Struthio camelus: one gene and its partners. The protein of the gene in region 1 binds, or shares a complex with, the protein of each later gene. Links are inferred from orthologs where the notes say so. Each region holds a gene or a part of one and is shown in the gene's direction. Other genes may lie near its edges. The genes, in order: AGK, TIMM10B, TIMM29 and TIMM10.

The links.
Region 2: AGK (region 1) and TIMM10B share a complex: the UniProt entries of both Homo sapiens proteins name them as parts of the TIM22 complex. The link is inferred for Struthio camelus from reciprocal best matches to the Homo sapiens genes AGK and TIMM10B.
Region 3: the proteins of AGK (region 1) and TIMM29 are in contact, whole or in part, in a cryo-EM structure (PDB 7CGP), measured with the Homo sapiens proteins. The link is inferred for Struthio camelus from reciprocal best matches to the Homo sapiens genes AGK and TIMM29. Residues at the interface, in NP_060708.1 of Homo sapiens: His33, Asn36, Arg39, Arg40, Cys43, Gln44, Gln47, Asn51, Lys82, Pro86, His89, Leu90; in NP_612367.1 of Homo sapiens: Tyr145, Gln146, Cys149, Arg150, Tyr151, Leu152, Gln153, Arg155.
Region 4: the proteins of AGK (region 1) and TIMM10 are in contact, whole or in part, in a cryo-EM structure (PDB 7CGP), measured with the Homo sapiens proteins. The link is inferred for Struthio camelus from reciprocal best matches to the Homo sapiens genes AGK and TIMM10. Residues at the interface, in NP_060708.1 of Homo sapiens: Phe49, Gly50, Asn51, Gln52, Leu53, Ile54, Pro55, Pro56, Val60, Ser91, Gly92, Met93, Asp94, Val95; in NP_036588.1 of Homo sapiens: Glu40, Glu42, Leu43, Ser44, Lys45, Gly46, Ser48, Arg53.

The regions. Positions count from the first base shown.
Region 1 is NC_090942.1:65,589,031-65,596,384, forward strand, and holds the start of AGK (acylglycerol kinase, mitochondrial), read left to right. Parts: upstream 1-4,353; 5' UTR 4,354-4,523; coding exon 4,524-4,633; intron 4,634-7,354. UniProt on the Homo sapiens protein: Lipid kinase that can phosphorylate both monoacylglycerol and diacylglycerol to form lysophosphatidic acid (LPA) and phosphatidic acid (PA), respectively. Does not phosphorylate sphingosine. Phosphorylates ceramide.
Region 2 is NC_090942.1:225,139,816-225,146,580, forward strand, and holds TIMM10B (mitochondrial import inner membrane translocase subunit Tim10 B), read left to right. Parts: upstream 1-4,752; 5' UTR 4,753-4,843; coding exon 4,844-4,879; intron 4,880-5,564; coding exon 5,565-5,660; intron 5,661-5,830; coding exon 5,831-6,100; 3' UTR 6,101-6,248; downstream 6,249-6,765. Other genes in the region: ARFIP2 (arfaptin-2), read right to left, coding at 73-181, 381-479. UniProt on the Homo sapiens protein: Component of the TIM22 complex, a complex that mediates the import and insertion of multi-pass transmembrane proteins into the mitochondrial inner membrane.
Region 3 is NC_090972.1:4,660,833-4,666,765, reverse strand, and holds TIMM29 (mitochondrial import inner membrane translocase subunit Tim29), read left to right. Parts: upstream 1-3,840; coding exon 3,841-3,943; intron 3,944-4,725; coding exon 4,726-5,360; 3' UTR 5,361-5,415; downstream 5,416-5,933. Other genes in the region: protein YIPF2, read right to left, coding at 614-626, 727-851, 942-1,124, 1,195-1,361, 1,454-1,570, 1,661-1,748, 1,826-1,906, 1,995-2,107 and 1 more. UniProt on the Homo sapiens protein: Component of the TIM22 complex, a complex that mediates the import and insertion of multi-pass transmembrane proteins into the mitochondrial inner membrane.
Region 4 is NC_090946.1:7,516,379-7,522,738, forward strand, and holds TIMM10 (mitochondrial import inner membrane translocase subunit Tim10), read left to right. Parts: upstream 1-4,751; 5' UTR 4,752-4,858; coding exon 4,859-4,929; intron 4,930-5,567; coding exon 5,568-5,769; 3' UTR 5,770-5,839; downstream 5,840-6,360. Other genes in the region: SMTNL1 (smoothelin-like protein 1), read right to left, coding at 61-159, 697-730, 1,228-2,395.

The DNA.
Region 1 (7,354 bases):
AGACGTATGATCTCCACTAGGGCAGGAGATGCAGATTACAGCCTTGCTATCTGATACTCTCAGCCCATCCTTAGCTAAGTCATGAATGCAAGAACATCCAGCAGACTGGCTGTCTGACATAGGCATCTCAATTCTCTGTTGCTGTAAGGATGATAGAACAGCTACATGGAACTGAGGAAGCCCTTTTCTCTTATGTACAAACACGCACATTCCTTTCATGCTACTATCATGCAAAGACACTCCCCTTTGTCCTTGTATAGTGCTGGCATATAATCTATCGGTGATGCAGGATGGTTTAATCTAGTCAACTGTATGAGGATTACCTACAGACCAGCTGGCTGAAATTACTTTTCAGACCCTGAATTTGAATAAAGCCCCAGCTGGTATGAAGTGGTGTGAATGGGATTTCTGCTCCTGATTCTCTTGGAAGTTTTGGAAGGTCCGGCTCAAAATTCCACACCAAGGGATGCAACTGGTGACTTCAGTAAAATGATTACATAAATTCAGTCCCATTCCCAGAGGACTGGCTATGACAGAAGGTTGCCAACCCAGATGAGTTAGCGGATTTGGAGATTTTAGGACAGACCGTGCTGGACAGAAAAAGAAACTATATAATTCTCTGTCCTTGCCAATATTTATGCATGCATAATTATAGGGCATTGCCATGTCGTAGAGAAATAAACTTTCTATCATTTCTCCTATATTTTCTGGCTAAGAAGAGAACTCAGTAAATAGGCAGCTGGTAAAGCAAGTGACTTCACTTAAGTTATAAACAAATAAGTCCCTGAGGCATGGTCATGTATCTGAGGCTTCTTCTGCTAACAGACTTGGCATTGGTGGTGCAGACAGAATGACAGAAAATTGTCCTTCAAAAATGGGTCAGATATGAGTAACTGGGATGAGGCACTGACCTGTATTCACAGACAACTTGTGTGATAATTTCAGGTGACATATCCCAACTCAAGTATTAGATTTCTGGGCCAGCTTGCTAAATGCTGGCTTCTTTTGCACAAACAATCTAGTAAGCATAAGAAAACAAAACACATATCAGTCTCCTCTGAACAGTTTTCTGAAAAAGGTAATAATTGTTTTGCCTAGCCTAAAAAAAAGACTACAGTATATAATCCAGAGGTTGTACAAAATCAGCTGTTTACCCTCTCATTTTCCATTGTGCCTACTCTAACATCCATTTCTATTGACGTCACCTGCAAAGAACCGGGAGAGCTAAAAAGGAAGTACCTGGTACATGAACAGCGGGTGTGATCTACCTTGAGGGTGATCAGATGGCCACAGCCAAAAACTAGGACATACATGTTTGCCAGGAGGGATTTTAGAATGGACACTGCATCGTAAGTAAAGCCAGATAATGAGACAAGTGCACAATCTGTTGTTGTTGTCTACAGTGTTTCTTTTAAGGGTAGTTCACTTCAGAAAGTGCCATCTCAAAATTCCCAGGCCAAATCCTCAGATAAAGTCACCGAATCAGGGTCTATGAAGTCAGAAAGCTCCTTTGGAGATCTTCTAGTGCAACCTTGCTGCTCAGAGCAGGGTCAACCAGAGCAGGCTACTCCAGGCTGTGTCCAATTGGGTCTTGAATATCTCCAGGCACGGAGACTCCACAGCCTCTCTGGACAACCTGTTGCAGTGTTTGACCACCCTCCCAGCAAAAAAGTTTTTTCTTATGCTTGCATGGAATTTTGTGTCTGTCAATTTGTGCCCGTTGCCTCTCTTCCTGTCACTGGATACCACTGTGAAGAGTCTGGCTCTATCTTCCTTACTCCCCCCAGATCAGCTGTTTATACACATTGGTAAGATCCCCCCGAGCCTTATCTTCTCCACACTAAACAATCCCAGCTCTCCTCTCATATGTCAGATGCTTCAAAACCATAATCAGCTTAATGGCTCTTTGCTGGACTCACCCCAGTGCATCCATGTCTGTCTTGTACTGGGGAGCGTCACTCAGCATCGCTGAGGTAAACTGATTTATACTACCTTAGACCTAGCCTTCCATGTGCAGTCACTCTAGAGAGAGAGATCTCTAATTGAAGGATTACCTCGAGTATACATACAAAATATTATGATATGATTCCAAACTCTGCTAGGAATGGTGAAAGACAACGAATATTTGGGCTAAAATTTCTCATTCATACTAACTCAAATGTATTTTCATGCACATGAATTCAAGTAAATTTCCATTCAGCTGTCTCAGAGATATTCAGGCCCTTCATACTTTTAAGCATTTTTTTGACTACTTTGAACATGTATTGACATACTAAAAAGACTTTATTTTAAAAATTCAAGCTTGCTTTGGAAGGAGTCTTAATAAACATAAGTATAAACACAACTATACTCTGTAGACTTGATTGTGAAGGAGGAAGTTACAGATGTTTGTAAATTATTTGTGTCACCTCATAAGAATTACTGAATTTGAAAAGCATATATCAGCACGCAATCTTTTCATAAGCTAAGGAAAGTAGGATGAGAGTCCTAATATTTGTTGCTGTTGTTGTTAGCAGTTGGCCACACCACCTGAATTCTCACAAAAAGTAGGCCAATACAAAAGAAAAAGTAGGACATTTAATCATTCTACACCACCTGGAACATTCAGCAGCACATCAAGTGTATGTACTTAGCACACTGAGATGAACTGTGCAGATGAACCCAAATATTTAACTGGATAAGGGTACCACTGCTGAAATATTCATCAGCAGCTGATCTTTTAACGTTTTGCCTTCGGAAAACAAGCCCCAAATCTTTTACTTAAAAAAAAAAAAAGTAGGGAAACCAATCCCTACCCAATCCATGGGTTTCAATCTGTTTTCCTTATCACCAATAACAGAATATCTTCCGGACTGTCTTCTGCATTAACTTGATTTCTTGCAGAACAGACTTTTGCATACCCAGACTCCAACGTTTGGCCTCACTCATCCCCCTTATGTTACTACTCGCATCCAATTCTGACAACGTTAAGCATAAGGATTTGGGGAAGTTTTTACGTTAAATTCATTTTATTGATCTTGACATTGTTATAAATGTTCAGAATTTGATGAAAATGGCATTTTACAAGAGGGAAAAAACATTATCAGAAAAAAATTCTGTCTGGCCTTAAGTTTATTACACTGACCAGTTGGTCTCTTCCAGACTGCTTCCTTGTCATCCCAAGTGTGTAAACCTTTGTCCCCGCCAAAAGTGGGCCAATGTTCTACAGAAACAGAATGCTTCCTTACACCATTATTTAGCCAATGGCTCATTTCGAACGATCTACCATCTGTCTGGCTTTCTCGTGAAGACAGGAAGGATCTCTGTGAGTATTAATCACACATGCCTCCCATTCAGCACTTTTCTGAAATCTCTGAGGCTGTTTGTAACCTGTGAGACGTTATATGAAGCCATGGCATTAATGCTAGTATGGACTGTTGCCACCGGATTGCCCACAAGCTTATCCCATCATGAAGTCAGGTCTTGTCACTTTGTCATTGCCACGCCTTTCCCTTGCAGGACATTCATTCTGCTTTTCACTGTATGGATTCCTTGCAGGGATGGTCAGTTTTCCATGGACGGTTGGAGACTTTTATCCTGGTGCATGTGGTCACGTAGTTGGTGGGGCTCAAACCCCAAGTCCTTCTTATACAACTTTCCATTCTATTCAGTTAGCTGAATCTTCAGAAATATTTTCAGTAATTTTCTTGTACCTTGGGTATTTGTATTGGTGTGAAAAACCTCCTGTTCACTTTTGCCCTCTACTATGCAGCAGGTCACCTGCTCCTTTTGTTTCTGGTGGCTGTGTTCGTCCAAGTTTCTGCTTCTTAGTGTTTTTGGTGAGCAGCTCTGTACTAGTAATATTTTTTTCTTGACGGACCGGTAATACTTCTCGGCTTGTACTGCCCAAGCACCCAGAAATTTCTGTTTTGTCCTCATTGTTACCGCTTGTTCTTCTGCACCTGCGGCACAGCGTGGCCCAGGCTTCGGCGGGGTGGTTTGCTGAGGAACGCCGTCAGTGCTGAGGGCTTCGGGTCATGTTGGGGGTTGGAGGATAAGTGAAGAGCAAAGACTGCGAGGACACAAACACGGGTATGAAAATACTTTTCCTTGGGGATACATACACACACACACACACACACACACACATATATATATATATATATATTTAAGGTAGGGCGCTTAGCAAACGTGTGGGGCCGTGCAAGGACACAGCACGCGGCCCAGGCCCTGGCTGGCAAAACACGCCGCTGCTGCTGCCACCGCCAGGGTCGCCCCGACCCCCCTCCCAAGCGGCCTGGCCTAACGCCTCGGGGTGCGGGTGGGGGACGCGTTTTAACTGCGGCGGGCGGCGTTGGGGTAGCGTTTGCGGTGGTGGGGGGCGGGGGAAGGGGGGACCGTTGCTGCGCGGAACGCGAGCGCCGGGGGAGCCGTTTCCAGCCGGGGCGGGCGGCGCGCGCGGGCCGGGCCGAGCCGAGCCGGGTCCCTGTGGCCGTTGCCGCCGCCAAACGGTTCGTCGCCGCGAGCGGCCGAGGCGGGGCGCCATGGCCGGGGTGGTCAGCGCGCTCAAGGCCCTGAGGAACCACTGGAAGAAAACGACGGTTGGGGCCTGCCTGCTCTCCTGGGGCGGCAGCTGGCTCTATGGCAAGCACCGGTAACTACCGCCGGGGGAGGCCGGGCGGGTAGAGCGACCCCCCCCCCCCCCCGCCCCCCGGGGTCGCCCAAGGCCGGGGGCTGCTGCCCCCGCCAGCGAGAGCCTGGGGAAGGTGCAGGGGGAACTGCAGCCCTTCTGGCACTGAGGCTGTGTGTGTGTGCGTGTGTGCGTGTGTGGTTTTTTTTAAATATATATTCCTTAAAAAGCCACTGGCCCCTCAAGAGGAAGGGATTTGCCGCAGCCTTCTCAGCTTTCCAGAGAGCAGGGGCCGTCTTCCCTTCCCTTCCTTCCCTACGACCGTTAAAGTGGGGCTTTCCTGGTGGAGAAATGCTCATCTGTCTTTTTAAATGCATTCCAAAGTGTAGGAGCCTCCTCGGGGTGATTGCTGTGGCCATTCCATCAAGTTGTGGTCCTAAAAAGGCTTAAATTCTTCCTGTGACTGTTAGTGTTGGCTTATTGTGAGTTTGGGTCCAGTCCAGGCGGTAGCTTTGAAGAGACCTTGTGTCAGAGTTGCTTTAAACAAACTTCGTGTCAGAGCAGCTTGAGTCATTTTTCGATCAACTGGAGAGTAGACAGATTTTTCTCTTTTAACTTAGAAATGCAGTCAACCACATGTATGTCATTGGGTTACTTGCTTTTAAGCAAGATTGTAATGATAAATGAAAATATAGGCCCTATACCTGCAAATGATTCCACTGATACAAATCATTAGGGACTGAATGGAAATTGGCTTCATAAACAGAAGGAGGTTGTGATGGGATTGTGGTCATGTGCCTAGGGGCTTTTCCATCTCTATTTTTCTAATAGTGTCATATTTCACGAAGATGGCCAGATCTTTGCTCCATGAGAACTTGTGTCTTCTGAGACACGCAGCGTTGGCAGCAGCTGTGCAGACTTTTATTGTGTGTATGCTCTGCTGCGGTCACCAGTGGAACTGGAAGAAAGTCATCAATTACTGCAGTAACTATATTGTGACATAAATCATACATAGTCAGCTATGATTTCTACATTTGTTATCCATGGACGAAATGCTCCTTATAGTAGTCAAAATCTTAGTTTACAGTTTTTAAATAGCTAGGCCTATATATTAATCTCTGTTCTTTTAACTCCCTTAGAGTTAATATACTTGACCAAAATGCAAGTATAGTCAAATTATTTTTTAAAATTATTCTTTCTGTTGCTACTGTATCTTCTGTCACCACCTTGTATCTTTTTAACTGTTAAGCCAGGATTTTTTAACAGTGTTCTTTTCTACTTGCATTAAAATGCTGTCAAGCCTCAGCAGAAAACTTAAGAAAATAAAACTGCTTATGGGGTGTGTTATACTTTCCTTCTTTGTTTATCTCCTTCTGCCTGGAGACTTTAGCATTAAATCAGAGTCTTTGTTTTGAAGGATACATCTGTTTATTTCCTACCTGAAGCATTAAGACTCAGTTGACTGTGGGCAAACAGCAAAAACTCTCTATCCACCCTTTTTTTTTTTTTTTTTGGTAATTGCTGATTGTAGAGTAGGTTAAGATAGGATGGAGAATTACTTCAGGCGAGCAAAAATGGTAGTAATGAGGTCATGATTTCACATATATGCCTACATAGACCAACATAGAAAAGAATTGTACTGCTGTGTTGTAAGCAGAAATATCTGTACTAAACAGGTTGTTTGGTTTTTTTTTCTGTGCCTTCCTGTAGTCTCAGTCAAGCTCTGAGCTTACAGTCCACTAAAGACTTCTAAAGACTTGAACTTTAAATTCAGATAAAGTAGCAAAATGTATCCAAGTGATTACTTGGAACTCTATCATTCTAGATACCTCTTAGCCGAAATAAACTTAACAGCCATAAATATATGTACAAAACAAGGAGGAAGCAATTGTTCAAGAGCACTCATAGGAGAAGCTGGCTGGCAGGTCAGAGCATCCTGTGATCTTCCCATGTACCCTGCTTATGTAAGTTGCCTCCTTATTGGTCTTCTGTTGCCACAGATACTAATGACAGTGAACAAAGTGCATTTCAGACCTGGGTACTGTGGAGAGCTACTGAAATAAAGCTTTAACGAAAGACTAAATCTGGTCCTTGTGCGTATGTAGAATGGTCACTTAAGGAGACACAGGAGCATCAGACATAACCAGTTTCCTCCCTTTTTTTTTATTCTTTCTGTAAGTTTATGTGCCTATATGCTGTGCCTAATACTGGTTTCAGCTGTATTCATGTGCTACGTAGTTCCCATTGTGCAGGACCTGTGACAACAAGTCTCTGATCAAGGAGAAAGTGGAGCTTACCGTAGGTGATATGCTGTCAAACCAAAAATGAATAAAGAGGAAAATATAAAAGCCAAACAAACAAACAAAAATGGAACTTTTGATATCTAAATTTAAGTGCTCAGAGGTTGTTTGTGTCAAATGTAGGCACAGTGCTTTAACCCAGAAGATGAAGTAAAAAAATAACATGTTTATACATCCCATTAAGTTTCGCCTTTTATCCAGACAGCATTTCCTTACCATGCCAAGAGGATGCAAGGTAAGAAGTCCTGTGGCAACATACTGCTCTGTGTAATTTGATGTTGCCTGAAGCACAGCTGTAAAGTACTGCTTTCAGAGGTTTAAATACTGTTTGTATAAAATGACAACTGTTTAGCCATTTCTTGATCTCTGCAGAGGATTGTTTCTGCCAAGGCATAGAAAAATGAGAGGTAACAGAAGAGTCTGATGGTAAGAGTGCAAAAATACA
Region 2 (6,765 bases), about 160 Mb from region 1:
GGGGAGCAGCACTCATCTTTCCCCTGCTCCCCAAGCCCCATCTATGCAGACCTGCGTTGAGGCTCAACCTACCTTTGATGGCGCTGGTGGGGATGATGCCTTCAGCAGTGCCCCCATAGCCGCCAGACACAATGCTGGTTTCATTGAGGTTGGGCCCTGACACCATCACCTGCTGCAAGTCCTAGAACAGAGGAGTGCACAGAGCTGGGACAGAAACAGGGCATTTAGCCTCAGAGAGAAACACAGACCCAATGGAAAGACTGGGTCAGAGCTGGGAGAGTGCTAAGGCCCTGTCTGCCCCACAGCAGCCAGAAGAGCAACATCTGGGCTGTCTAGCATGTCACTGTCCTGACCCCTGCTGATGGGCCCCAGCCGCAAACCTGCTCCAAGCCGTCATCCTCCGGCAGGCTGCCCGTGTCCCCGTTGCTGCTGATGGGGATCTCCATGGTGGCAGCCTTGCTCATGATCCCGTCCGACATCGTCAGGGCCTGCAAGGACACAGATGCTCTGCTGGCAGCTGGAGGAACCCCGGGAACAGGCAGAGACGGCCACCACCCCTCAGGTGGACAGGGGTCCTGGGGTTTCAACATAGGAAAACACTGGGGCTTCTCAGCCCAGGATCCAGCAGGGCAAAAGACAAGGCCGAGCTGCACGGCACTGAACAGCAGCTAGCAGACACCAGGCAGCAGTTCCCTGTTACACTCACAGCAGGACTAGAAACTGCGCACACTGAGCAGTCCCCAGGGTCCACCCAGGTCCCACCACAGCAGCTAGTGCCTATCTGAGCGCAGGCGCTCCTCCAAGACAGCGGCCCCTCCAAACATGCCACCCTGGCCCTGCCAGCAGTTCCTCTGCTCCTAGAAAAGCTCCCGAAGAAGGCTGTGTGCCTTGCAGAAGACAGTCCCAGATCCCGCTCAGCATCCGGGAGCAGTAGCATTCAATTCCACCAGCCCATTGTGTATTGGGTTTTGGAGCATTTCCTCTGCCCTTCCATCAGTCCACGACTCTCACATTTCAGAAACAGGACAGTGCTTTCCCTTCCCCTCACCACTCTTTTGCAGCCAGTCCTGTCCCCGGGCTTGGGAGGCAGAGTCTGGCTGCCCCAGGGCAACCAGGACCTCACAGCACAGCAGCTGCTGGCCCAGAGCCTAGGAAAACAGAGCCAAGAGCCACGTCCACAGTCAGGCAGGGCTGCGCGTCAGAGGAGTGAGCAGTGGTTGGGCAGCAAAGAGCCCATCCACGAGGTGGGGGCAGGACCCAGGCAGAGGGGGCCACGAGCCAGGAACAAACCTTGCTGGAACAACGGGCTCTCTCGGGAGTGCTGTGCACAGACCGGTCGGAGCACATTCCAGTGCAGGCAGCGCCAGGCACCTGAGCACACCTCCGAGCCGAGCCCTTACGCTCCGAGCCCTTACGCTCCGTTAGCTCCCTGCTGCCTGACAGGGAAACAACACCTAGAAGAACTGGACACCACAGGAAAGGGCTCCAGCATGGATGAAACGTGCATGCAGAGGACACAGCCTCCAACCACATTCCTCCACCATGCTGTCATGTGAAATGGCTACACAGCGAAAGCTGTACCGTATAGCTCATATCTAGTGGTCTCTGCACCTGCCCTCAGGTTGTAGCTCAGAACAGCCCTCAAACAGTGACCATGGCTCCTGCTCCAGAGCCTGCTCCAGAGCAGGGAAACTACAGCTTGGGAAGAGAAACAACTCACAGTCAACTAACGGCAGAGGCAAAGGCAGAGAGCGGACCCAGCAGTCCTGATTGCCCTGCAGCTGTAGGCAGGACGCTCCACCTGGGTGGCACCCACCCCTCGCTGCGGCAGCCAGGGCCTGAGGCCAGGCAGCACCAGGTAAGCACAATGGTTCCAGTCACGCAGGGACCCACCAGCACTGGCACTTGCTCTTTGACAAGAGCTCTATAGATCTGGTCCCATATCAAAAACAGTGGGAGTCACCACTGACCCTAGCAGCAACCCAACACGAACACGCCTTAGCAAGTACAGGGAGCAGGATACGAAGGGCAGAACACGCAACTCCAGCAGTACTCCCTGATCTCTCTGAGCCAAACCTCTACCTGCAACATGGCCTGGGCCCTGGGAAACTCCCAGCCCTGTGGGCTTCCCTTGAGCAGGCAGTCGCTCTGTTCTGGAGGGGCTGCAGCGCCAGGGAAAGACAACACCACCCAACAGCACCTGGCACTGGGCTCTCCCCTGGGTGAATGGGGTGGCCGTGGCCCCACAGACACATCCCCAGCCCCCTCCTGAAGCGGGGCACCATCTCCTGGCCCCAGTGGGCAGCAGGGACAGATGTAACGCGCAGCAGCACCCAGCTGTGGTGCCCTCAGCCGTGCCGCTAGCACAGCGGCCCCCGAGGTCAGCCCTGATTGCCCTGGAGGCACTTGCTGTTTCAGGCAGGCATCTGCCATGCCTTCACGCTGCAGTTCCCAGCACGGAGCCCCACGCACCAGCGGTGCACACAACCCCACCACTCCCCCACCCGCACCCCCTGTCCACAGGCACCCAGCGCCCCCCGCTCCCCCACCCGCACCCCCTGTCCACAGGCACCCAGCGCCCCCCGCTCCCCCTGTCCACGGGCACACAGCGCCCCCCGCTCCCCCCGCTCCCCCACCCCCTGTCCACGGGCACACAGCGCCCCCCGCTCCCCCACCCCCTGTCCACGGGCACACAGCACCCCCCGCTCCCCCACCCCCTGTCCACGGGCACACAGCACCCCCCGCTCCCCCCACTCCCCCACCCGCACCCCCTGTCCACGGGCACACAGCACCCCCCGCTCCCCCTGTCCACGGGCACCCAGCGCCCCCCGCTCCCCCACCCCCTGTCCACGGGCACACAGCGCCCCCCGCTCCCCCTGTCCACGGGCACACAGCACCCCCCGCTCCCCCACCCGCACCTCCTGTCCACGGGCACACAGCACCCCCCGCTCCCCCCACTCTCCCACCCCGCAGCCCCTGTCCACGGGCACACAGCACCCCCCGCTCCCCCCACTCCCCCACCCCGCAGCCCCTGTCCACGGGCACACAGCGCCCCCCGCTCCCCCACCCGCACCCCCTGTCCACGGGCACACAGCACCCCCCGCTCCCCCTGTCCACGGGCACCCAGCGCCCCCCGCTCCCCCACCCCCTGTCCACGGGCACACAGCGCCCCCCGCTCCCCCTGTCCACGGGCACACAGCACCCCCCGCTCCCCCACCCGCACCTCCTGTCCACGGGCACACAGCACCCCCCGCTCCCCCCACTCTCCCACCCCGCAGCCCCTGTCCACGGGCACACAGCACCCCCCGCTCCCCCCACTCCCCCACCCCGCAGCCCCTGTCCACGGGCACACAGCACCCCCCGCTCCCCCACCCGCACCCCCTGTCCACGGGCACACAGCACCCCCCGCTCCCCCCACTCTCCCACCCCGCAGCCCCTGTCCACGGGCACCCAGCACCCCCCGCTCCCCCCACTCCCCCACCCCGCAGCCCCTGTCCACGGGCACCCAGCACCCCCCGCTCCCCCCACTCTCCCACCCCGCACCCCCTGTCCACGGGCACACAGCACCCCCCGCTCCCCCCACTCTCCCACCCCGCAGCCCCTGTCCACGGGCACACAGCACCCCCCGCTCCCCCCACTCCCCCACCCCGCAGCCCCTGTCCACGGGCATACAGCACCCCCCGCTCCCCCACCCGCACCCCCTGTCCACGGGCACACAGCACCCCCCGCTCCCCCCACTCTCCCACCCCGCAGCCCCTGTCCACGGGCACCCAGCACCCCCCGCTCCCCCCACTCCCCCACCCCGCAGCCCCTGTCCACGGGCACACAGCGCCCCCCGCTCCCCCCACTCCCCCACCCGCAGCCCCTGTCCACGGGCACCCAGCACCCCCCGCTCCCCCCACTCCCCCACCCCGCAGCCCCTGTCCACGGGCACACAGCGCCCCCCGCTCCCCCCACTCCCCCACCCCGCAGCCCCTGTCCACGGGCACACAGCGCCCCCCGCTCCCCCCACTCCCCCACCCGCTCCCCCTGTCCACGGGCACACAGCGCCCCCCGCTCCCCCCGCTCCCCCACCCGCTCCCCCTGTCCACGGGCACACAGCTCCCCCCGCTCCCCCCGCTCCCCCACCCGCACCCCCTGTCCACAGGCACCCAGCGCCCCCCGCTCCCCCTGTCCACGGGCACCCAGCGCCCCCCGCTCCCCCACCCCCTGTCCACGGGCACACAGCGCCCCCCGCTCCCCCCACTCCCCCACCCGCACCCCCCGTCCACGGGCACACAGCGCCCCCCACTCCCCCACCCGCACCCCCTGTCCACGGGCACACAGCGCCCCCCGCTCCCCCCACTCCCCCACCCCCTGTCCACGGGCACACAGCGCCCCCCGCTCCCCCCACTCCCCCCCCCGCACCCCCTGTCCACGAGCACACAGCGCCCCCCGCCCCCAGGTCCCGGCCCCCGGCTCCCCCAGGCCCCAGGCCCCAGGCCCCAGGCCCCAGGCCCCAGGCCCCAGGCCCCAGGCCCAGGCCCCAGGCCCCGCCGCCCACCTGCGCCGCCCCGGCCGCTGCCGGGTCCCCCCGCCCCGGAGGCGCCGGAGCCCCGATCCGCCTCGGCCCCGGCACACACCGGAACCGACGTCACACCCCGGGCAGGGGACGCCGGGAGGCAGGGCGGAAGTGGCGTCACCAGGGGGCGACCGGGAACAGCGCCGGGCGGAACAGGGCCGGAAATGGCCTGATCCCCGGAAGCGGCGGCCCCAAGAGGAACGGCGCTTCCGAAAACACCGGAGGTGACAGGCGCGACCGGAAGTTGTGTCATTGCTCCTGGCCGGAAGTGCCTGTGCGGGCATGGAGCAGAGCGGGGAGCAGCAGCAGCTCCGCAGCGTGAGGGGGGCCGGGGCCGGGGCCGGGGCCGGGGCCGGGGCCGGGTGGGGCCTGGGGCGCTGCGGGGCTGCAGGAGCTCGGCCGGGGGCCCGGGGAGTGGCAAGGCCCAGGGCGCTGGGGGGCTCGGTGGGGCCACGAGATGCTCAGGGGGTTGGTGGGGACCCCGGGGCGCTCGAGTGCTGGGCGGGGACCCCGAGATGCTCAGGGTGTTGGTGGGGACCCCGGGGTTCTCGGGTGCTGGGTGGGGACCCCGAGATGCTCAGGGGGTTGGTGGGGACCCCGGGGCGCTCGAGTGCTGGGCGGGGACCCCGAGATGCTCAGGGGGTTGGTGGGGACCCCGGGGCGCTCGAGTGCTGGGCGGGGACCCCGAGATGCTCAGGGTGTTGGTGGGGACCCCGGGGTGCTCGGGTGCTGGGCGGGGACCCCGAGATGCTCAGGGGGTTGGTGGGGACCCCGGGGCGCTCGGGGGCTCGGTGGGGACCCCGAGATGCTCAGGGGGTTGGTGGGGACCCCGGGGCGCTCGGGGGCTGGGTGGGGACCCCGAGATGCTCAGGGGGTTGGTGGGGACCCCGGGGCGCTCGAGTGCTGGGCGGGGACCCCGAGATGCTCAGGGGGTTGGTGGGGGCCTGGGACACTGGCAGACCCTGAGCAGGGTGAGCGTGCACCAGCGCTGTTGCTCTTCCAGCTGCGGGACTTCCTGCTGGTCTACAACCGGATGACTGAACTCTGCTTCCGGCGCTGCGTCTCCAACCTGAACTACCGCGTGCTCACCAAGCATGAGGTGAGCCCAGCGTTGGGCCTTTCTCGGGCGGCTGGAGCACCGCAGGTCTTGCAGTGCTGGTTTCCTGCTCGCGTCACAGCACTGGATGGGCTGGAGGGGCTGTGGGGAGAGGCAGCGCGTGCCCCTGATGAGGAGCCCGCCTGCCGTGCTGACACCTCGCCATCCTGCAGGAGATGTGCCTGGACAGCTGTGCTGGAAAACTGGTCCACTCCAACCACCGCCTCATGAGTGCCTATGTGGCGCTTATGCCCTCCATTGTGCAGCGCCGTGCCTCGGACTACGAGGCCAGTGCAGCCCAGACGTCTGCAAATTCTGCCAAGGAAGTATCAGTGGCACCGCCTGCCCTCCCAGGTACTGGGGGCCCTGATGCCCAGCCTGACTTGCAGGTGGCTTCTGGCATTGGTGGAGCCACAGAAGGAGCCTCAGATGCTGGCACATAGCACAGCTGTAACTCCTGGGCCCTGCCTTCTCACAGCAGTGGTGGGATGGATGGTTGCAGGCTGGATCTGGGCCCTGTGTTACCAGTGTGAGAAGTAACTTGTGGGCAGTGCAGTGAGATCTGGGCCTCCACACGCTGTTGCTACTGCTAGTCTGGAGCGGTAGAATCCTCTCTGCACCAACACCAGACCTTGCAGGTCCACATCCTCTAATGCATCTGCATTACGAACAGCCTCCTGACATCGGCCACATCCGTTCAGTGTCTGGTGGCGCTGGGGCTGAGACCGACGGCTGGCACTGAAGGCAGTAAGGGAGAAAACTAGTGCTGCGGTTCTGGCCAAGAGGGCTCTTAGCTGAACTCTTTTGTCTTAACAACAAAGCTCCTTTGGTGCTGCAGAGTTGGAGCTTTTCTACTGCTGGGAAGGTGTTTCCCGGTCCTAATAAAAGAGTCATCGCGAATGTCGGGCTGTGGGCGTGCGGCGGGGCGAGCAGACCTCGAGCGCTGGCGCGCTGCGCCCGGCGGGGGGGACGGTCCCTGCCGCAGGGGCGGGGCGGGGGCTGCGCGCCCGGCCCCCTCCTCTGTCCCCGCCTCGGCCCGTGGTGTCGAAGAAGGGGCGGGGCCAGGCGCAGGGCGGAGCCCGCGGGGTGGGGCAAGGGGCGGGGCAGA
Region 3 (5,933 bases), on another chromosome or scaffold:
CGGGGGCATCTGTTATGGAAGGCTCCCTTGCGTGGCTGCACTAGGAAGTGTATTTGGTGTCTGTTAGCGTCCAGCACTCATAGCGTGAACTTTCCTTTCTCTTTTGTTTTCCTTTCGAAGGCCGCGAGCGGCGGTTTTTGGCAGGGGCGCGCAGGGACCCCGCTGCGGAGAGCGACCGTCTCCCCGGGGCCGTTCCCTTTGCCGCGGGCGGCCCCCAACCCCTCGCTGGGGCTGCGCCTTAGGAGTAGCGGATCTGCTGTTTTTCGGCTGTAGTACTGAATAAACGGGAGGGTTTCGAAGGTTCGCGCCCTGCTGCCTTTGATACCGCGTCCGCTCCCGGCCGGACCCCGTGTCCCCAGCCCCGGCGCGGCCCTTCCCCAGGCCCTCGGCTCCCAGCCGGAGACAACGCGGGTCGCCAGGCGGGGACAGCCCCGGGGTTTATTTCGGTCGCTGTTTGCATAGAGAAGAGTTGGGGACGGTGCTGGCCCGGCCCGGCACCCCGTCCGGAGGAGTCCCGCCGGGAACCGGGCTGTGCCGAGAGCCGCCGGCAGGGCAGAGCCGGCCGCGCCAGGCAGGAAAACGGCCGCGTCCTCGCGCGGGGGCTGGAGCCGCGTCACTGCCTCGAGCTGCGGGAAGAGCCGAGGGCCAGGCGAGGGTTTGGCCCCCCACCGGGGCCGTCCGCATCGAGCCGGGGGCTGCCTGCCCCGCTCGGGGTCCCCCTCTTACCTCGCCGGCTGGGAGAGGTTGGCGAAGTGGTGGGGCGCGCGGCTGTGGTGGGGCTCGGTCCCCAGCGTGGCGTGGAGCGGCGAGGGGGCCGGGCCGGCGCCCGGCGGCCGCTGGAAAAAATAAAGCTGGGAGGGAGAAAAAATAAAAGGAGGGAATGAGTGGGGGGGTCCGGCGTCCCCAGAGCGGCGCTCCCCCCGGCCCGCGGCGAGCGGTACCTTGCAGCAGACGGCGAGCAGGGCGTGCAGGGCGACGACGGCGGCCAGCAGGGCCAGGGCGGCCGCCCGGCCCTCGGCCCGCACCAGCGGCCAGAAGGTGAGCGCCAGCACCGAGGCCGAGAGCAGCGCGGCCACGGCCAGCAGCAGCCACTGCAGCCAGGCGGCCGGGATCAGCCACAGCACCTGCGGGGACGGCGGCGGCGTCAGCTCCGCTGGGGGACGCGGCCCCACCGCCGCCGCCCCGGGGACTCACCGCTGTGGGGATGTAGACGAAGAGCGAGTAGCCGTAGACGCAGACCGTCTCCAGGAAGCTGTAGGAGCTGCCGCGCGCCCCGGGGCCCCGCCGCCACCGCAGGTAGCCCCAGAGCGCCAGCGGCACCAGCCAGGCGTAGCAGTAGACGACGGTGGCGGCGATGGTGACTGCGGAGGGGACGGGACGGGGACAATGAAGGCAAAGCCCGGGCTGCCCCGTCCCCTTCCCCGCGTCCCCCCGCCAGCCCGGGGCCTCGCACCTTTGTGGAACTGGGGGCTGTAGTGGAAGGAGGGGGACGCCTGCTTCTCCGGCAGGTGGGACAAGTTGCCGCTGATGGCCAGGGCGAACACGAGGGTGGCGCAGATCCAGAAGGGCCCTGGGGAGGGGAAAGCGGGTGGGCGGTCGGCGAGGGGCCGGCCCCGGGGCGCCGGCAGGCGCCCGGCCAGCGGCAGCTCTGCCCTCTCACCGTACAGGTCGGGGTTGTTCCGCAAGCGGTGGCGCACAAAGTTCTTCCCCGGCAGCGGCGTCACGGAGCCCTTGATCCTGTCCAGCACCTGCCGGCGGGCGACGGCGTCTCAGAGGCGGCGGGCGCCGAGGAGCCGGGCCGTCCGGCCGCCGCGACCGCCGCTACCTGGTGGGTGTCGACGTCGAAGAAAGCCTGGTAATACTCGAAGGTCCAGAAGCTGCGCGGCTGCTGCTGCCCGCCCAGGAGCTGCGGGCGGAGGAAGGGCCGTGAGCGCGGGGCCGCGGCCGGGGGCCTCCGCTCCCCGTGGTGCCGGCGGCGGCGGCGGCTGCGTCACCTCGGCGCTGTCGGCGTCGGCCCCCGGCTCGCCCTCCTCGCAGCCGGGCCCCAGCTCCACGGCCGCGTGGCTCGGCCGCTCGCCCGCCGGCGGCTCCGCCGCCTCCTCGAGCTCTGCGCGGTGACGGTCGGCGTCAGGCGGCCGCGAGGGGCCCGGCGCCGCGGCGGGGGGGGCCGCGGCGGGGGGGCCCCGGCTCTGCCCCGACGTCGCGCCGGGACTCACCGTGAAACCGCAGCTCGGCGGACGCCGCCATGGCGGGGTCTCTCGCTGCGGGAGCGAGACGTGAGGCGGTTGGGGCGCCCCCCCCCCCCCACCAGCACCGGGACCCCCCCCCGGACCCCCCCCAGCATCCCAGGCCCAGTATCCCCAGGGCCCCCTCTGGCACCGGGACCCCCCCCCGGGCATCCCGGGCCCAGTATCCCCAGGACCCCCCAGCACCAGGACCCCCGGGACCCCCCCCGGAACCCTCCCGGCATCTCGGGCCTGGTATCCCCAGGGACCCCCCCAGTACCCCCCAGCATCCCGGGCCCAGTATCCCCAGGACCCCTCAGGCCCCCCCAGCACCGGGACCCCCCCGGACCCCCCCCAGCATCCCAGGCCCAGTATCCCCAGGGCCCCCTCTGGCACTGGGACCCCCCCACCGGCATCCCGGGCCCAGTATCCCCAGGACCCCCCAGCACCAGGACCCCCGGGACCCCCCCCCGGTACCCTCCCGGCATCTCGGGCCTGGTATCCCCAGGGACCCCCCAGCACCCGGACCCCCGGGACTCCCCCAGGACCCCGCAGCCCCCCCCGGCACCAGGACCCCCGGGACCCCCCCAGGACCCCCCAGCACCCCCCGGCACCAGGACCCCCGGGACCCCCCCCCGGAGCTCCCCCGGCATCCCGGGCCCGGTATCCCCAGGACCCCCCGGCACCGGGACCCCCGAGACCCCCCCCCAACATCCCGGGCCCGGTATCCCCAGGACCCCCCAGCACCAGGACCCCCGGGACCCTCCCCGGTACCCTCCCGGCATCTCGGGCCTGGTATCCCCAGGGACCCCCCTAGTACCCCCCAGCATCCCGGGCCCAGTATCCCCAGGACCCCTCAGGCCCCCCCAGCACCGGGACCCCCGGGACCCCCCCGGACCCCCCCCAGCATCCCAGGCCCAGTATCCCCAGGGCCCCCTCTGGCACCGGGACCGGCCCCCCCACCGGCATCCCGGGCCCAGTATCCCCAGGACCCCCCCCCCGGTACCCTCCCGGCATCTCGGGCTTGGTATCTCCAGGGACCCCCCAGCACCCCCCGGCACCAGGACCCCCGGGACCCCCCCAGGACCCCGCAGCCCCCCCCGGCACCAGGACCCCCGGGACCCCCCCCCCGGAGCTCCCCCGGCATCCCGGGCCCGGTATCCCCAGGATCCCCCCGGCACTGGGGCCTCCGGGACCCCCCTCCAGCATCCCGCGACTCCCAGGACCCCCCGGGACCGGCACCGCCTGGGTCAGGACCCGCCAGCCCCGCCGTGGGGCTGCACCGGGACCCCCATAACCCCCCCCGGGGACTCCTGGGCCTGGACCGGGACCCCCCGGCTCCTCCCGGTCCCCCCCCACCCCGGTTCCCCCCCCCCCCGGTACCCGGCCCGGCCCCGCGGACGTGGCTCCCCCCCCCCGCCGCCGCCGCCGCGATGGTTCCGCCCGGTCCGTCCCCGTGTCCGGCCCCCCCGGCCCCGCCCCCCCGCCGCGATGGTTCCGCCCGGTCCGTCCCCGTGTCCGGCCCCCCCGGCCCCGCCCCCCCGCCGTCATGGTTCCGCCCGGTCCGTCCCCGTGTCCGTCCCGGCCGGAGCCACTTCCGGCGCCGCTCGCGGCCATGGCGGCGGCGGGGGAGGCGGCGGCCCCGGCCCCGGCCCCGGCCCCGGCCCCGGCCCGGGGGAGCGGCGGGCTCTGGGCGCGCATCGCGGGGAGCCGCGCCGGTGAGGGCCGGGCTGGGGGGGTCCAAGGGGGCCCCGGACTCCTGGGACCTTTGGAGGGGGGGATTGGGGGGGTCCCCGGACTCCTGGGCCCATTGAAGGGGGGGGTTGGGGGGGGTCTGCCCGGACTCCTGGGCCCATTGAAGGGGGGGGTTGGGGGGGTCCCCGGACTCCTGGGCCCATTGAAGAGGGGGCTGGGGGGGGCTGCCCGGACTCCTGGGCCCATTGAAGGGGGGGGTTGGGGGGGGTCTGCCCGGACTCCTGGGCCCATTGAAGGGGGGGGTTGGGGGGGTCCCCGGACTCCTGGGCCCATTGAAGAGGGGGCTGGGGGGGGCTGCCCGGACTCCTGGGCCCATTGAAGGGGGGGGTTGGGGGGGTCCCCGGACTCCTGGGCCCATTGAAGAGGGGGCTGGGGGGGGCTGCCCAGACTCCTGGGCCCATTGAAGAGGGGGCTGGGGGGGGGCTGCCCGGACTCCTGGGCCCATTAAAGAGGGGGCTGGGGGGGGCTGCCCGGACTCCTGGGCCCATTGAAGAGGGGGCTGGGGGGCTGCCCGGACTCCTGGGCCCATTAAAGGGGGGGTTGGGGGGGCTGCCCGGACTCCTGGGCCCATTGAAGAGGGGGCTGGGGGGCTGCCCGGACTCCTGGGCCCATTAAAGGGGGGGTTGGGGGGGCTGCCCGGACTCCTGGGCCCATTGAAGAGGGGGTTATGGTGGTCCCCGGACTCCTGGGCCCAGGCTGGGGCAGGGGGGGCAGCCCCCTCCCCGCTGACGGCGCCTGGGCGCAGGGCGCTGGTGGCGGGCGCTGCTGCAGGACTACGCGGAGGCGGCGCGGGAGGCGGCGCGGGGGGCTCGGCGCCGGCCCGGCCGGGCTGCGGGCTGCCTGGCCCTGCTGGCCGGGGCGGCCGCCTGCGGCGCCGCCGTCCCCGGCGCCGGCTCCTTCGAGGCGGCTCTGCTGGAGGCCGCCGGCTCCCTGCTGCTCCTCTCGCCGTGGATCCGCAGCGGCGTCGCCGAGGGGCACGTGCAGCGCCTGCTGCGGCTGCGGGACCGGGGCCAGCTGCGCTACCGGAACCTCGTCTTCTTCGCCCTGGTCTACGAGGCGCCTTTCGACGCCCAGGCCGGCCTCTACCTGGCGCAGTGCCGCTACCTGCAGCCCCGCTGGCGCGAGCTCCCGGCCCGCGTCCTCGACGTGGGCTTCTGGGGACGCTGGTGGGTTCTGCGCGCCAAGATGAGGGACTGCGACATCAACGAGGAGGAGTTCAGGTTCCTGCCCGAGCACCTCCGCGCCGTCTCCTTCCACCACCTCCACTCCGAGGCCAACGAGAAGCTCTTCGAGGAGCGGTACCAGCCCGTCGTCCTGACGGAGGAGCAAATCGAGCGAGCGGAGAAGGAGCCGCCGCCGCCGGGCGCCGCGGGCCGGTGACTGAGCGACGCAGCGGCCGTTCGGCGCCGCTCAATAAAGGCGGCGGATGTCTCGACGCGCGCCGCCGCCTCCTTCGTGCCGCCTCGGCGGGGACGGCGCTTGGCGGGGCGAATGCGGCGCCCGGCGGCGGGAAGCGTCTCGGCCCCGCGCCCTCCGCCTCCATCCCTGCGCCGCTCCCGCGGGATGCGGCAGAGGGTGCTGCCGAGCTGCGAGACCTCCGCGTCCCGGCCCCGGCCGGCCGCGTCGCCGCCTGCCCCCCACCCGCCGCGGGCAGGGGGGCGCGGGGTCCCGCCGGCGAGGGTCTCGGGCGGCTCGCGCTCGCAGGAAACCTCCCTGCGGGACGCGGCCGAACCCCTCTTCCCCCCCCTAGGGAAACGCAGGGCGACGCTCGCACCGACCGCGCGCTGCGGGCGTTCGCCCCGGGCTGGGTTTGGGGCCTCGCTAGCGGCCCGGCGTCTCTCCGACGCCCCCCCGGGCTCCCCAGCGACCCCCTAACTATCGATTAACCCTTTATTGCGGCATCTGTCGTTCGCGCGTTGACTCCTCGTGGGATTATTCACGGCCGGTATCCAG
Region 4 (6,360 bases), on another chromosome or scaffold:
GCCCCCCCGGCGGCTCCCCATTGGTGCCCCGTGGGCCCCCCGCACCCCAGCCCCACTCACCCTCCGAACTTCTCCAGGATGGCGCTGCGCCCCTGCGCCCGGGTGCCCACCGGCACCCGCCCCCCGACCCGGTGCCCCGGCGCCCCCCCGGCTGCCCCCCTGTGGGCACAGAGCCAGCGTGGGGTGGGGGGCATGGGGCGGGGGGACCAGGGGTGATAGCCAGGGGGTATGGCAGGGGGATGCCAGCCATGGGGCATGGGGCCATGGGGTGCAGGTCATGGGGTGGCAGCCGTGGGGTGGCAGCCGTTGGGCATGGGGCCATGGGGCGCAGGCCATGGGGTGGCAGCTGTGGGGTGGCAGCTGTCGGGCATGGGGCCATGGGACACAGGCCATGGGGTAGCAGCCGTGGGGTGGCAGCTGTCAGGCATGGGGCCATGGGGCGCAGGCTGTGGGGTGGCAGCTGTGGGGCACAGGTCATGGGGTGGCAGCCGTGGGGTGGCAGCCGTCGGGCATGGGGCCATGGGGTGCCAGCCATGGGGCACAGGCCGTGGGATGGTGGCCGTGTGGCTTGGGGTCACGGGGCGCAGGCCATGGGGTGCCAGGCGTGGGGCAGCCAGGTCGCGGGGTGCAGGTGCTGGGCATGGGTGCCGCGGTTGGGGGGGTGGGGGGCAGCCGGGGGGCCCGGCCCACGCTCACCTCTGCCGGCCCCCCGAGCCCGCGACGGCGCCAGCTGTGGGGAGAGCAGAGGGGTCGGGGGCGCCCGGGGGGGGGAACGGGGCAGCTCTAGGGCATCCCGGGGGGATGTGGGAGCTATAGGGCATCCCGGGGGAGATGGGGGTCCCGGGGGGGTGGAACGGGGCAGCTATAGGAGATCCTGGGGGAACGGGGGTCCTGGGTGGGCAGGTGGGTTGGGGCAGCTATAGGGGATCCCAGGGGGATGGCAGAGCTATAGGGGACCCCGGGGGCATGGGGCAGCTATAGGGCATCCCAGGGGGACAGGGGAACTATAGGGGATCCCAGGGGGATAGCGGAGCTATAGGGGATCCCAGGGGCATGGGGCAGCTATAGGGGATCCTATAGGGGGATGGTAGAGCTATAGGGGACCCCTGGGGGCGTGGGGCAGCTATAGGGGATCCCAGGGGGGTGGTGGAGCTATAGGGGACCCCTGGGGGGGATCGTACGGGGCCCCCGGAGGTGCGGTGCCCTCCCTGGCAGCCCGGCACTCACCGGTGGGGGCGGTGGGGGCCGCAGGAGAGGTGGGCGACACGGGGGACGCCGGGGGGGACGTGGGGCTGGCGGGCCCGAACTCGGGCCACAGCTCGTCGTCCTCGTCCTGCTGCCACGTGGGGCCCTGCTGGCCCGGGGGGGGCTCGGCCGCCGCCCCGGCCCCCCGCTGCGCTGCCCCGGCCTCCATCCCAGCCCCGGCCTCCCTCCCCGCAGCCTCTGCTGTCCCGGCCTCCCTCCCAGCAGCCTCTGCTGTCCCGGCCTCGCTCCCAGCAGCCTCTGCTGTCCTGGCCTCGCTCCCAGCAGCCTCTGCTCCTTTAGCCTCCCTCCCAGCAGCCTCTGCTGTCCCGGCCTCGCTCCCAGCAGCCTCTGCTCCTTTAGCCTCCCTCCCAGCAGCCTCTGCTGCCTCGGCCTCCCTCCCAGCAGCCTCTGCTCCCTTCGCCTCGCTCCCAGCAGCCTCTGCTCCTTTAGCCTCCCTCCCAGCAGCCTCTGCTGTCCCGGCCTCGCTCCCAGCAGCCTCTGCTCCTTTAGCCTCCCTCCCAGCAGCCTCTGCTGCCTCGGCCTCCCTCCCAGCAGCCTCTGCTCCCTTCGCCTCGCTCCCAGCAGCCTCTGCTCCTTTAGCCTCCCTCCCAGCAGCCTCTGCTGCCTCGGCCTCGCTCCCAGCAGCCTCTGCTCCTTTAGCCTCGCTCCCAGCAGCCTCTGCTCCTTTAGCCTCCCTCCCAGCAGCCTCTGCTCCATTCGCCTTGCTCCCAGCAGCCTCTGCTGCCTCGGCCTCCCTCCCAGCAGCCTCTGCTCCCTTCGCCTCGCTCCCAGCAGCCTCTGCTCCTTTAGCCTCCCTCCCAGGATCCTTTGCTGCCTCAGCCTCACTCCCAGCAGCCTCTGCTCCCTTCGCCTCCCTCCCAGCAGCCTCTGCTGCCCCGGCCTCCCTCCCAGCAGCCTCTGCTGCCTTCACCTCACTCCCAGCAGCCTCTGCTGCCTCGGCCTCGCTCCCAGGATCCTTTGCTGCCTCGGCCTTGCCCCCCGCCACCCCATCCGCCCCCGCCGTGGGCCCCCCCGCAGCAGTGCCCCCCTCCTGCCCCTCAGGCCCCCCCCCCGCAGCAGGCGGCAGCGCCGTGGGGCAGGCGGGGGGCTCGGGGGCAGCGGGCGGCCGGGCAGCTCCCTCGGGCTCCATGTCTGCGACGGCAGCACCGGGGGGGCCGTGCCAGGGGGCTGAGCGGGGCGAAAAGCCCCGGCCAGGTGCCTTCCCCCGTGGCACCCCACGGCGGGCCCCGCCCCACGGCCCCCAGCCCCAAGCGGTGCCCCACAGCAGCCCCCATGCCACAACCCCCAGCCCCATGCAGTGCCCCACAGTGGCCCCAGACCCCCAGCCCCAAGCAGTGCCCCACAGCAGCCCCTGCCTCACGGCCCCAAGTGGTGCCCCACAGCAGCCCCCACCCCACGGCCCCAAGTGGTGCCCAAAGGCAGCCCCTGCCCCACAGCCCCAAGCGGCGCCCCCCCGGTAGCCCCTGCCCCACGGCCCCAAGCGATGCCCCACAGCAGCCCCTGCCCCATGGCCCCAAGCAGTGCCCCATGGCAGCCCCTGCTCCATAGCTCCCAGCCCCAAGCAGTGCCCCACAGCAGCCCCTGCCCTACAGCCCCAAGCGGCACCCCATGGCAGCCCCTGCCCCCCGGCCCCAAGCGGTGCCCCCCAGCAGCCCCCACCCCCCGGCCCCAAGCGGTGCCCCACGGCAGCCCCCACCCCCCGGCCCCAAGCGGTGCCCCATGGCAGCCCCCACCCCACAGCCCCAAGCGGTGCCCCACGGCAGCCCCCACCCCACAGCCCCAAGCAGTGCCCCATGGCAGCCCCCACCCCACGGCCCCCAGCCCCCAGCGGTGCCCCCCGGCCGCTGCCCTCAGTGCCCCCCACTGCCGGCCCCACTCACCGGTGCTGGCGCCGCGGCCGGCCCCACTCGCTGCCTATTTTTACCCGGCGGAACAGGTGCCCCTTTCATGCAGGCCGGGGGGGGGCCGGGCTGGGGCCCGCGGGGACAGGCAGGGACATGGGGCACGCGGGGGGACAGGCGTGCGGGGAGCTGGCCGGGCCCGGGGTCGCCCACGCGGGCCCGGGACAGGGACGTGGCGGGGGCGCCCGGCTGCGGGGACACAGGGACGAAGGGACGAGGTGGGGGGGGCAGGCGCGTACGGGGGACAGGGGGGACAAGGGGGGATGAGGGGGACAGGGACCACCCCCCATACAGAGCCATGGGGACATAGGGGGTCATGGGGGAATGGGGGGGGGGACAGGAACCCTCCCACAGGGCCGTGGGGACATGGGGGGACAGGGACCCCCCCCCAGGGCCATGGGGACATGGCGGACATGGGGGGACAGGGACCCCCCCCCAGGGCCATGGGGACAAGGGGGGACAGGGAACTCCCCCCAGGGCCATGGGGACAAGGGGGGACAGGGACCCCCCCCCAGGGCCATGGGGACATGGCGGACATGGGGGGACAGGGACCCCCCCCAGGGCCATGGGGACAAGGGGGGACAGGGAACTCCCCACAGGGCCATGGGGACAAGGGGGGACAGGGAACTCCCCCCAGGGCCATGGGGACATGGGGGACATGGGGGGACAGGGACCCCCCCCAGGGCCATGGGGACAAGGGGGGACAGGGACCCCCCCCAGGGCCATGGGGACATGGCGGACATGGGGGGACAGGGAACTCCCCACAGGGCCATGGGGACATGGGGGGACAGGGACCCCCCCCCCAGGGCCATGGGGACAAGGGGGGACAGGGAACTCCCCCCAGGGCCATGGGGACATGGCGGACATGGGGGGACAGGGAACTCCCCACAGGGCCATGGGGACAAGGGGGAACAGGGACCCCCCCAGGGCCATGGGGACATGGCGGACATGGGGGGACAGGGACCTCCCCCCAGGGCCATGGGGACACACGGGGATGGGGGGTACAGGAACCCCCCCCCTGCAAGGCCATGGGGACTCGGGGGGACAGGGGAGGACAGGGAACCCCCCCACAGGGTCATAGGGACATGGGGGACATGGGAGGGACAGGGACACCCCCATAGAGCCATGCAGAAGGGGGGACATGAGGGGACCCCCCATGGGGCCGTGGGGACGCAAGGGGACGGGGGGGGACTGAGACCCCCCACAGGACCGTGGGGACACAGAGGGGACGGGGGGGGACTGAGACCCCCCCCCACGGGGCCGGGGGGGGCCGGGGCTCCCCGGACAGGCCCACGGGGCCGGGAGGACTCCGCGGAGGGGGCGGGGCCCAGCCGCGAGGGGGCGGGGCGCGCCTTCGCCAATCCCGCCCGCTGCTGCTCTGGCTCCGCCCCCTTCGGCGGGCAGCGCGAGCGTCCTCTCTATCCGCCGCCCTCACCGTCCCCCCCCCCCCGCCCCGCAACCCCGCTCCCTCTCTATGGCTGCCCCGCGCCGTCCCGCCCCCTCCTCCCGGCCCGCCCTATCCGCGTTGGGGGCTGAGCCCCTGCCCTCTCCGCGCCTGGCTCCTATTGGCTCCGCCGCGAGGCGGGGCGGTCCCGTGCCGGGGCGGAAGCGCGCGCGCGCGCCCCCACGTGGTTCCGGCCGGCAGCCGCCGCCGCCGCGGGGTGGTCGTGCCCGTGCCCGTGCCCGGCGCCATGGACCCGATGCGGGCCCAGCAGCTGGCGGCCGAGCTGGAGGTGGACATGATGGCCGACATGTACAACCGGTGGGGACCAGCGGGGCACTGGGCGGCGCTGGGGGACAGGGGGAGGAGCCCGGGGCTGGGGGGGCGTTGGGGGGTGCTGGGGGGCACGGGGGGTATTGGGGGGCTGGGGGTGGCTGGGGGAATGGGGGGCGCTAGGGGGCACGGGGGGCATTGGGCTGGGGGGTGCTGGGTGCTGTGGGACATTGGGGGTGCTGGGGGGCATGGGGGGTGTTGGGGAACATTGGGGGTGCTGGGGGGCATTGGGGGGCTGGGGGGTGCTGGGTGCTGTGGGACATTGGGGGTGCTGGGGGGCATGGGGGGGCTGGGGGGTGCTGGGTGCTGTGGGACGTTGGGGGGTGCTGGGGGGCATGGGGGGTGCCGAGGGCTGTGGGACACTGGGGGGTGTTGGGGTGCTGTGGGACATTGGGGGGGGTATGGGGGGCATTGGGGTGCTAGGGGGCACGGGGGGTGCTGGGGGGCATTGGGGGTGCCGTGGAACATTGAGGGGTGCTGGGGGGCATGGGGGACACTGGGGGGCATTGGAGGGTACTGGGGGGCACGGGAGGTGCTGAGGGCTGTGGGACATTGGGAGGTACTTTAGGGGGTGCCGGGAGGCGCTGGGGGCTCGGGGGACGCCCGGGTGACGGGTGCCGGCGCAGGATGACCCACGCGTGCCACCGGAAGTGCGTGCCCCCCCACTACAAGGACGCCGAGCTGTCCAAGGGCGAGAGCGTGTGCCTGGACCGCTGCGTGGCCAAGTACCTCGACGTCCACGAGAGGATGGGCAAGAAGCTGACGGAGCTGTCGCTGCAGGACGAGGAGCTCCTCAAGCGCATGCAGCAGGGCTCCGGCACCGCCTGAGCCGCCGGTGGGACACCCGCCCGGGACACCCTCTCCCCGCCACCCCAATAAACCCAGGTGTTTCGGAGCACCCTCGGCTCGCCGCGGCGTCACTCCGGGACGCGGGTACCACTGCAGGGCAGCGAGGCTCGGAGCCGGGGCGGCGGCGGGGGGATTCGCTTGTGGCTCGCAGGGGGTCGTGCGCACCCCAGCCGGGGGGGTGGCAGGGGAAGAGGTCTTTTCCTCGACCCCCTGAATCGGGATGAGCGGTGGTGCTGCCCTGGCTGTCCCCTGCTGTCCCCTGCTGTGTCCTTGCAGGGTGCACCCCTGGGTGCCCCCGCCCCGCCCCGGGCCCAGCCCTTATAATCCCCGGGATTAGGCAGAGCTGGCCTGAGCCCCATAATCCCCCGTAGGGTGGGCGCAGGGCGCTGTCTGAGCCGGCCCCGCTGGCCTGCAGGGACAGCCGGAGAGAGACACCCCCTGGGGACACCTGCGGGGACAGGCGCAGGGACAGCCGGAGAGAGACACCCCCTGGGGACACCCGGAAAGAGACACCACCCAGGGACACCTGCACAGAAGCAGCCCAGAGGTGCGTGTGTGCACACACACCGG